Callithrix jacchus: one gene and its partner. The protein of the gene in region 1 purifies or fractionates together with the protein of each later gene. This does not show direct contact. Links are inferred from orthologs where the notes say so. Each region holds a gene or a part of one and is shown in the gene's direction. Other genes may lie near its edges.

Region 1 (5,484 bases):
ATCTGGATGACCTTGCCCTGGCGATCCAGCTTAGGGACTTCCTTATTCTCAGGGAGCCCAGGCTCTCTGGGGGCATGCACATGGCCTGTCCTCTCTGCCACAGAATCAGACAGTCTGGTTTGTGTCACTTTGCCCACAAAGAGCAAGAGGGTAAAATATACACTGGTCCATGTGTTGTAAAGCTACCTGGAGGAGCAAAATTGCTCTCAGCTGGGCCCAGGCTGGTGGCTGCCTATGAAGATGGTGTGAGGTAGGGGTGGGGCTAAGGCAGTCCAGGCAGAGGGTAGGCAGAGACTAGAAGCAAGAAAGCAGGAGCTTGAGCCGAACCCTTCCTGGGGCTACCTGAGAGGCATGTCCAAGGCTCAGCCTGGAGCCTGGGAGGGCAGGGGAGCCCGGACAGGTGGGCAGGTGGGGTGGGCCAGGGCCAGGGCCAGTCTGGATCACAGTCAGTGGAGAGGAGTGTCTCCCCCATGCAGAGGAAGTGTTGGGGGTGAGTGTGGGGGTGTCCCTCCTGGCTGCTTGCTAATTCTAGGTCTTGCACTTGCAGAAGCCCGAGGCCCGAGCCCCCCAGCAGGCCTCCTTCTCTGTGGTGGTGGCCATTGACTTCGGCACCACGTCTAGTGGCTATGCTTTCAGCTTTGCCAGTGACCCTGAGGCCATCCACATGATGAGGTGAGGGCAGCTGGGCTGGGAGAGTGAGGTGGGGAGCGTGGGGAGTCCCTCGTACCCTGGGATAATCTTGGTCCCAAAAGTACTGTCACCGAGACATGGGGTCTCCTCAGAGGCCCTGCCGTCCCTAGTCTGGGGCTCCTCACTGGGGCAAAAGTTTGGAGGATAGGCCCCAGGCCTGGGTCCGTGGCCTCAACTGGAGCAGCTCCCAGCCCTCTGAAGGAAAAATCAGACTTCGTTTTTAATTTTTTTGAGATATAACAAACATACAATAAAATATGCAAATCCTTTTTCTTTTCTTTTCTTTTTGAGATGGAATCTCGCTCTGTTCAGGCTGGAGGGCAGTGGCACAATCTCGGCTCACTGCAATCTCTGCCTCCCGGGTTCAAGCGATTCTCCTGCCTCAGCCTGCTGAGTAACTGGGACTACAGGCATGTGCCACCACACCTGGCTAATTTTTGTATTTTTAGTAGAGACTTGGTTTCACTATGTCAGCCAAGCTGGTCTCGAACTCCTGACCTCAGGTGATCCACCCGCCTCGGCCTTCCAGAGTGCTAGGATTACAGGCGTGAGTCACCACGCCTGGCCTTTTTAATTTTCTTTCTTTCTTACTTTTTTTTATTTGAGACAAGGTCTCCCTCTATCACACAGGCTGAAGTGCAGTGGTATGATCATAGCTCACTGCAGCCTTAAACTCCTGGGCTCAAGCAATCCTCCCACCTCAGCCTCCTGGCTAATTAAAAAAAAAAAATCTTTTTTGGAGAGACAGGGTTTCACTATGTTGCCAGGGCTAGTCTTAAACTCCTGGCCTCAAGTGGTCCTCCCACCTTGGTCTCCCAAAATGCTGGCATTACAGGTGTGAGCCACCGTGCCCAGCCCACAAATCTTTTTCTAAGCTTGTACTCAAACACACACATATACAAACACATATGTGTTTTTTAAGTAAAAGTGAGATATACAATTTCCTTTGTTTTAAACCTTCAACACTATTTTGTAGCTATTTCATGTCAGTACATACAAAGCTACCACTTTCTTTGAATGGTTGCCTAGTATTCCCACAGTACGGATGTGTCATAATTTATCCATTCCCCTATTGACAGTTTTAGGGTTTTTTTTTTCCTCCACTCATTTTTCACTATTACAAGAAGTGCAACAGTAATATGCTTCTTTGGAAACTTGTGCTGCAATCTCTATGGGGTAGATTCCAAGTGGTAATTCCTAGGTCCAACATCTCAAATAAAAACCAAGAAAATGAAGGTTCCAAGGGTTGAGTTGACGAGTCACACAGTTGTTATGAAAGACATGTTTCAAAATTCTATTCAGATGTTGTTGGGTTTTGTGTGAACACTCTCCTCTGGACCTCAAGACCCCAGTCCTCTGGATGTGTCCTAGGGGGTCGGCAGGCAGTAGGTGAAGCTATAGGAGACCTCAAAGCTCTCAACCCGGACTGGGATGGGAGGTAAGAGGGGCTTCCCCAGGCCTGGAGGCTGGCTGGAAGGGTGAATGGAGAGACAGACAGGTAACTGCTCCCAAAATACACAGGACTTGAGCTTCCTGAGATTGGGCTGTCCTTCCTCCTGCATCTTAGGAAGCCACAAAGGCTCTGGGCACTAACAGTGCTATAGGAACTACAGGCTCATCAAGACACACAGCTGAGGCCATGCTGGGGCTAAGGACACATGCAGGGACACTGTCTCTGTCCTGTGGAGGTGACAGTCACAGGAAACAACTGGGGGACATCCTGGCCTCCTCCCAAGCCTTCTCTTCCCATCAGCCACCAAGCCCCTAACATCTCTAGATGTTTCCCTAACACCTAGAATCCCCATCTTCTTCTCTTGGGCCACCGATCCTGCCCAAGTTCAGCCCCGACCTTCTCTCACCTGAATGGCGGCAGCGTCCTCCTCCCCGGTTTCCTTTCTCCTCCGTTCTGTTGCTCCACGGGAGCCAGTGACCTTTCTTTCTAAAGGCAAATGTGGTCATATCTCTTTACTACTTAAAATCCACCTAGACAGAGCTCCTAATGACATTCTGTTCTCTTCATGATCTGACCTTAGCATTCTTGTATTTTCTCCGGCTGCATATCCAGCCGACCCGTAGCTAGTTCTCCCTGCTCTTGCTCACCTGTAAGTTTTTGCATATGCTGTTCCCTCTGCCTGCATTCCCACCCAGGAAGGGAGGGTTGCACTGACGGCCCGGTGTCCCGCAGGAAATGGGAGGGCGGAGACCCGGGCGTGGCCCACCAGAAGACCCCGACCTGCCTGCTGCTGACCCCAGAGGGCGCCTTCCACAGCTTTGGCTACACCGCCCGCGATTACTATCATGACCTGGATCCCGAGGAGGCCCGGGACTGGCTCTACTTCGAGAAGTTCAAGATGAAGATCCACAGCGCCACAGTGAGTCACCGGGCTTCAGACAGGGAGGCGGGGCCTGCGCCTGCCTGGGAAAGCTAATGGGAGGGTGGGACAAAACCTAAAGGTGTAAGGACTGGCCCGAGGGAGTCCTGGCTGAGAGGGGGCGGGGCTAAAGGGAGACTTCGGACCCCAGTGTGGGAGGAACTCAGAAGTGAGACACCTGGAAGCGGGCTAATAGTGAAACGGGTTGCGGGAAGGGTGGGGCCTAGGAGAGGTGCTGGGGCAGAGCTAATGTCAGATTGGGGCAAGAATGAGACGGTGCTAAAGAGGAGGGGAAGCTTCAGAAAATGGGGTGGTTTTAAGAATGAGGTCGTCAGGAAATGAGGGCAGAGCTGAGGCTTCCTCCAGAGCCACCCTGTGTCCCTGCCAGGATCTCACCTTGAAGACCCAACTAGAGGCAGTAAATGGAAAGAAGATGCCTGCCCTGGAGGTGTTCGCCCATGCCCTCCGCTTCTTCAGGGAGCACGCCCTTCAGGTATGCTGCGGCCCCACTACTGCTGACTGCAGCAGGGACCCCCAGGCCCCTCTACTCCCATCCTTTCCCCTCATCCGAACATTCCCGCCCCCGACATTGGATGCGTAGCCACTGCCAGAGGTCCGAGGTCATTTTCTCCAGTTCCCTCTCTTTTCGTCTGGTAGAGCCTGTACCAAGCCATACTGATGGGAGGGGGCCCGATTCTTCCAACTCAGCTGGGAAGTCTTTCCTGTAGTTTGATTAGTTTCTCCAGCTCCACAGAGGGCTGAAGACCACCCTCCCTCCAAGCCAGCTCTTCCTCTCACTGCCCCCTTCTACACCAGGAGCTGAGGGAGCAGAGCCCATCGCTGCCAGGAAAGGACACTGTGCGCTGGGTGTTGACGGTGCCTGCCATCTGGAAACAGCCGGCCAAGCAGTTCATGCGGGAAGCTGCCTACCTGGTGAGGACATGCAGGCGGGCAGAGAACACTGCTCAGGAAGGCCCAGGCCTGTCCCCACGCCTGTATGCACCCACTACCCTTGGGACCACAGAGCATTGTGAAAGAACTTCAGCCTGCTCCTGCTGGGAGTTTGTAGGGTTGCTGCCACCTGGAGAGGGAGTGAGCCTGCAGGAATGGGACAGAGGGACAAGAGGCACAGCCCAGGCCATTGTAGACAGTGCCTTAAGTCAGGTGTCCTAGAAGCAGAGCCCAAGATGGAGACCCTTATATGTGAGGTCTATTGAAGAATGGTTCTCAGGAGAAAGGGGAGGGAGGGAAGTGGGACAGGAAAAGGGCTATGAAGGATGTGGTCTTGGCTGGAGTCTAGCCTCAGGTTTAACCTCAGCTAGAATTCATGGGGAGCTGCAGAGGGAGAACTGTAGCACAGAACTGGGGCCAGCTTCTTGTACATCCATATTGGTCTGTCATTGGTTCTGGGGGCATGGGAGGGAAACCTCTCCAAGTGACGCCATTCCCATTCAGCTGAGGGCAGCTGTCCAGAGGAGGTGGCAGCCGTGAGCCAGTAGCAGCCAACACTCACAGTGGCAGGCAGGGCCCCTAGAACATTTACTTCAGTTGGCATCAGTATTTTCAGGGGTATCCCCACCACTGCCCCACCTTTGTTGGTCCTTGAGCAGGGGAAATAGGACTATGAAAGTATAAAGGGAGGAGATTCTGACCAATACATGCAAGTCTTCCTACCACCGAGATGCTCAAAGACCTAGAGCAAGATATTGGAGGGGCTCCAGTGCAGACAGAGAGAGGGCACAGCCTCAAGACTCATTGCTTGAAGGGATCTCAAGTCTGCCTGTGGACCCCCTGGAGAAGCCCCCAATCCTCCTACACCTATGGGACAGGCGTGACCTGGGGCCAGGTCTGTAGATGCCTACACTTTTCACTGGGAGGAGCTAACCCTGAGCACAGTGGACACCCCTGTGCAAGGATCAGGACAGAAGCAAGGCTGTCCCCAACCAGAACAAACACCTGCTCCCCCAGAGATCCCTTGCCAGTTTCCCCACCCTGCTTCCTCCCATGCCGTTCCCTGGCTGCTCAGGAAGGTCTGGCCCTGGGTAGAAAGTCTCCATTCACACCCTTATCCCTCTCCCCTAGAGGGGGATAAGGTTAGAATCTGGGGAACCTTACAAAACCATAAAGTACTTCCCACAAGGACCCCCTGCCCTGATGCAGGAAATAACTTCAGATCTCAAGTGTTTTTCTCCACCCAACTGGCCTGTCTTGGTGCCTGGAATTTCAGCTTCCTTCCTGCTATATCAGATTCCCTGGGAACAAAGTTCTCCTTGGAGTGAGGTGGCCTATGGCTACTGTCTGACACCAGCCTGCTAGAGAAAGAGGATTCAATGAGCTAAAGGGGCTCCCCACCATCTCCTTTGATCCACCACACCCCCTACACTGTCCTAGAGTCTCTGCCAACACCCCCAACCAGCACTCA
Region 2 (5,484 bases), on another chromosome or scaffold:
GGGGACATGGGGGCCAAGGGTGAGTCCTTGTGTAACAGGACAAGAGATACAAGCTAGAGTCCTTCATCTCTCCTACTCTACTCTATAAGCCATATGCACTATTTGTAGATTTTCTTCTGTGTACAAAATTAAATATAGACTTTGTTAAAAAAAAAAATTCAACAAGGAATGTCAACGTTCCCTATAATTTCCCATTGCAGGGAGAGAACTGCTGTTTAGAGGTTGCTTTATATTTCTCTAGAATTGTGGCTTCTGATAAAAATAAAATGAGTGGCCAGGCACAGTGGCTTATGTCTGTAATCCTAGCACTTTGGGAGGCCAGGCGGCCAGATCACTTGAGGTCAGGAGTTCGAGACCAGCCTGGCCAGCATGGTGAAACTGTGTCTACTAAAAATATAAAAATTAGCTGGGCATGGTGACGGGTGCCTGTAGTCTCCCAGGTACTCGAGAGGCCGTGGCAGAGGTGAACCCAGGAGGCGGAGGTTGCAGTGAGCCAAGATTGCACCACTGCACTCCAGCCTGGGCCATAACAGAGTGAGACTCTGTCTCAAAAAAATAAAATATAAAATAAAATAAAGCAAAAGCAAACATTGTTTGGCTCCTTTTTGCATCAACAAATTTAATTCACAGGCTGAGTCTGAGACTCTTTCTGCAGGTGAGGAAACTGAGGCATAGAGAGGTAAAATTCATAAATGTTCCCAAATTCATGGTATTACTGTAAGGCATAGTCTAAGTTGTTTAGCAAACAGACCCACAAATATGTGCAGACATGAAATAGTTTCTGTCTCACTTGTGTGGAGGTCCTGCATTGGTGGGTGACTTGGGGTAGGCTGGTGCCTCATCTCCTTGAAGCCATCTAGAGACCTGGTTCCTTTGGTCTTGTTTGTCTGCCATCCCCTCAGGGGTTTGCCATGGACCACATGATCAGTTCTGGCTCCCAAGCAGAGTCCACCTTATAGGGCAGGCTGGAGTTTTGTCATTGCAATGCTCAGTTCCCATTGGCCAGGCACGGTCATGTGGCCATACTTAGCTGCAAGGGAATCTTAGCAATGTCATCCCTAGTGGGTGGCTATGGACCCTTTTAAAATTCAGTGATTTGGGGTCTGGGTGCAGTGGCTTTGGCCTATAATCCCAGCACTTTGGGAGGCCAAGGTGGAGAGATCATAAAGTCAGGGGATCGAGATCATCCTGGCCAACATGGTGAAACCTTGTCTCTACTAAAATACAAAAAATTAGCCAGGCAAGGTGGTGCATACCTGTAGTCTCTACTCAGGAGGCTGAGGCAGGGCAATCGCTTGAACCCAGGAGGCAGAGATTGCAGTGAGCCAATATTGCACCACTGCACTCCAGCCTGGCAACAGAGTGAGACTCTATCTCAAAAACAAAAAAAACTCAGCGATCCAGGGTTTCATTCTAAAAGGAAAAGAGAGCTGAGCACAGTGGCTGCATCCTGTGATCCTAATGCTCTGGGAGGATGCTGGAAGTTAAGAGAATTGCTTGAGGCCAATTCAAGACCAGCCTAGGCAACAGAGCGAGACCTCGTCTCGATAAAAATATTTAGATATGAGCCATATGTAGTGTGTAGTGACGTACACCTGTAGTTCTAGCTCCTCGGGAGGCTGAGGTGGGAGGATCGCTTGAGCCCAGAAGTTTGAGGCTATCATGAGCCATAATTATGCACTCCAACCTGGGCAACAGAGTGAGACCCTGTCTCCAAAAAGAATTTTCTTTTTTTGAGATGGCATCTCACTCTATTACCCAGGCTGGAGTACAGTGACATGATCTTGGCTCACTGCAACATCTGCCTCCTGGGTTCAAGTGATTCTCCTGCCTCAGACCCCTTGAGATTACAGGCAGACACTACCACACCCAGCTAATTTTTGTGCTTTTGTTTTATTTATTAATTTTTTTTTTTTTTTTTGAGATGGAATCACACCCTGTCACCAAGCTGGAGTGCAGTGGTGCGATCTTGACTCACTGCACCTTCCACCTCCCAGGTTCAAGCAATTCTCCTGCCTCAGCCTCCTGAATAGCTGGGACTACAGGCGCACACCACCACACCCAGCTAATTGTTGTGTTTTTACTAGAGATGGGGTTTCACCATGTTGGCCAGGATGGTCTCAATCTCTTGACCTCGTGATCTGCCCACCTTGGCCTCCCAAAGTGCTGGGATTACAGGCATGAGCCACTGCACTGCGTCCAGCAATATGTATTTTTTAATTAAAAAAAAATGAAAGGAAAAGAGGAGATCAGATTCTGGGCATCATCAGGAGCTCCTGCAGTAGAGAGCTAGTAAGTGACGGAGCCAGGGTCTGAGCCCAGGCAGGCCAGCTCCTCTCAGCACTCCTGCTGCCGATTCTCAGAGGAGGTGCACTGGGCCCTCCCACCTGAGCCCACTCCCACTCCCATCCCATCAGGTGGACATCATGCAGATGTGCATCCTTGAGCTAAAGGACAGACCAGGCCAGCCCCTCTTCCATCTGGAGCACTACATCGAGGGCAAGTACATCAAGTATAACTCCAACTCAGGCTTTGTCCGTGACGACAACATCCGCCTGACACCGCAGGTGAGGCCCCTGCTTACCTGCATGCTCTGCCCACCCCAGCCCTTTGGGATGGGATCCTGGCCAGGTTTAGCCCCCAAAGAGGATGGTCCTTGTGGGCTTGGAGTCTCACCCTCAGAGGAGCCCTGTGAGCATTCTGAAGGAGACTATAACGGGACACCTGTCACCCCATGACAGCTTCTCTTACCTAAGGTGGCCACAGGACCTTCAGCCCACAGTCCCTGCCTAACTGAACCGGCCTTTTTCCTTTGTCTTTTCCTCTATATAACTCCTCCTTGCAGAGAAAGCCTCTCAGCATGGGCAAAGCTGGGGCATTTCAACCCCCAGAGCAGAGGTGTGGCCAGTGCCTGCACAGCCCTCAGCCTGTCTCTTGACATCTCCTTTTCCTTCCTGTCCCCGTGCAGGCCTTCAGCCACTTCACATTTGAGCGTTCCGGCCATCAGCTGATAGTGGTGGACATCCAGGGAGTTGGGGATCTCTACACTGACCCACAGATCCACACAGAGATGGGCACTGACTTTGGTGACGGCAACCTAGGTAGGTGGGGAGAGCCAACCTGTTTCCCCAGAAACCACACTCCCTGCTAAAACCTCTGAGCTCTTTGTGCAGCCAAGGAAATAGGCTGAGACACTGTCTGCGCTTTCCCAAGATTGTGGAGATGGGAGCCTGGATGTCTGATGCCTCCCAGCTCCACAAGTTTTGTAGCTGCCCTGGCCATGTGTCTGAGGCCCACCACTGCCTGTTCCCCGTCACAGAGCAAAGCAACACTCCAGACACCCCTGCTCTGTCCACAGGTGTCCGCGGGATGGCGCTTTTCTTCTACTCTCATGCCTGCAACCGGATTTGTGAGAGCATGGGCCTTGCTCCCTTTGACCTCTCGCCCCGGGAGAGGGACGCAGTGAATCAGAACACCAAGCTGCTGGTGGGTGCCTGGTGTGACCCTGCTTGGCCTGGTGGGCCCTTCTGCTACCCGCGCAGCAAGCCTTGCTCCCCTGTGTGGTGACAGCCAGGCCGAGCAGTGCTTAACTGACAAATACCAGAGCTGGAAGCATCTGTCCCATCTGTGCCCCAGGCTGTCCCCTCCAGCTCAGTGCACAGAGTCCTCCTGAGTGTCTCACAGTCTAGCAGCTGGTATCTGCTTAGGTTGGGCCCATTTATTCTCAGAGTGAGGGGAATAGACATGTAGAGATAGTGAGAAGGCATGTGGTGTGTGTGTGTTTGTGTGTTATATTCAGTTCAGACAAACGACTGAACTGGTCTTAGACCTGGCTCTCCAGGCACCTCAGCAGGATAACTCCCATCCCTCCCACTGCTATTTGGACCAGAGACAAGAGAATGTTGCCAAGACCAGCCTAGGATGCTGGACATAGAGTGGGATGCTTTCTCCAGCTCCAGGCTGTGGAATGTGGTCAGTGCTTTAGGGGATGCTGGCTAGCAGGTCCTCTGAGCTTCTGTCCCTGATGCCCTTTCTTGGAGGACTTAGGTTTAATTCCCTACTGATTTTTTATTTTTTTGAGACAATATATCAGCCCCTAAACAGGCATGTTTAGAAGCTACAGATGAAGGGATTTCAGGGCTAGAGGAATAATAGGAAGAGCCCTTTATTTCCCACAGGGTGTGTGTGTGACATGAGTATCCCTGTTAATGTCCCCAGCAATCAGCCAAGACCATCTTGAGGGGAACAGAGGAAAAATGTGGGAGCCCGCGAATAAGGACCCTCTCTGGAAGTCGGCCCCCCCTGCTCCGTCCCCTGTCAGAGAACTCTGGAGATGAGAACATGAGTGACATGACCTTTGACTCCCTCCCTTCTTCTCCATCTTCGGCCACACCACACAGCCAGAAGCTGGACCACCTCCGTGAGTGATGGTTTGGTCCCCAGTCACTGTGCTTGGAGGGTTCAGGTAGAGCAGAGCTAAACTGGTTTTCATTTACGTTAGAAAAATCAGACATGCTAATCAAAAAGGTTCGTGGCCCCAGTGGTTTTATAAGTGAGTTTCATTGAGTGAACTTTCAAAACAGATCATCCAAATGCTATAAAAAGAACCCCTATTGTAGGAAACGAGGTTACATTTATCCGTGTGTTTTATGAAACCAGCAAAACCAGCAAAAAAAAAAAATATAGTAAACTTGACAAACTAAAAAAGAAAATTATATCCCAACCTTATTTAAAATTTTTATTTGTGTATATATATAGAGAGAGAACAAAAAAAAAAATCTCAATATTAACAAATAAAAATAGTAGTGTGTTAAAAGGCTCACCTGTCCCAGTTAAATAGGGATTTCATAGGAATCTGAGGGTTGTTCAGTATTAGAAAACTTATGAACATGATATTAATGGCTCAAAGGGGAAAAACAGAATCATTATTTCTGATGTTGAAAGGATGGAGTTTGCTGGTGATTCAGACAAGAGCCTGTGGGAAAGGATAGAGGCAAGACTGATCCCAGGGTGCTGGCCTGAAGAAATGGAACTCATGCATTCAGGAAAAGTATGAGTGGGAGCAGGCTCAGGAGGAGGAGAAGATTTTATTATTTAGTTTTTTAATTTTTCTCACTTCTGATACCTTTGGAAGAGAGAGTTTAGTATCAAACATTAAAGAAGACTTTTAGATGTTTCCACTGGAAGATCTTTGGAATAGTTTGGAACAGGAGTCAACAGACTTTTTTAAAAGGCCAGAGAGTAAATATTTTAACCTTTGCAGGTCATTCACTCTGCATTTGGAGCTTGAAAGCTACCATAGAAAATCGTTAAATGAGTAGACCTGGCTGTGTTCAAATAAAACTATGGATGGTGAAATGTAATTTTTGTTATCATTTAAAAACATAAACACTGTTGTTACAAATTATAAAAACAGGCAGACAGATTTGTCTCTATAGGGTAGGAGACAGACATAGGGAACCACCAGGAGATGGTTGGTGGTTT

What was found. The genes of interacting proteins can lie anywhere in the genome.
Region 2: the proteins of HSPA12B (region 1) and EEF2K purify together in Homo sapiens (affinity purification with mass spectrometry; 3 studies listed by BioGRID and IntAct, with this or other methods). This does not show direct contact. The link is inferred for Callithrix jacchus from reciprocal best matches to the Homo sapiens genes HSPA12B and EEF2K.

Annotation. Positions count from the first base shown.
Region 1 is NC_133506.1:11,263,805-11,269,288, forward strand, and holds part of HSPA12B (heat shock 70 kDa protein 12B), read left to right. Parts: intron 1-547; coding exon 548-672; intron 673-2,875; coding exon 2,876-3,062; intron 3,063-3,450; coding exon 3,451-3,555; intron 3,556-3,878; coding exon 3,879-3,995; intron 3,996-5,484.
Region 2 is NC_133513.1:22,841,972-22,847,455, forward strand, and holds part of EEF2K (eukaryotic elongation factor 2 kinase), read left to right. Parts: intron 1-2,417; coding exon 2,418-2,567; intron 2,568-2,968; coding exon 2,969-3,101; intron 3,102-3,358; coding exon 3,359-3,486; intron 3,487-4,218; coding exon 4,219-4,420; intron 4,421-5,484. UniProt on the Homo sapiens protein: Threonine kinase that regulates protein synthesis by controlling the rate of peptide chain elongation.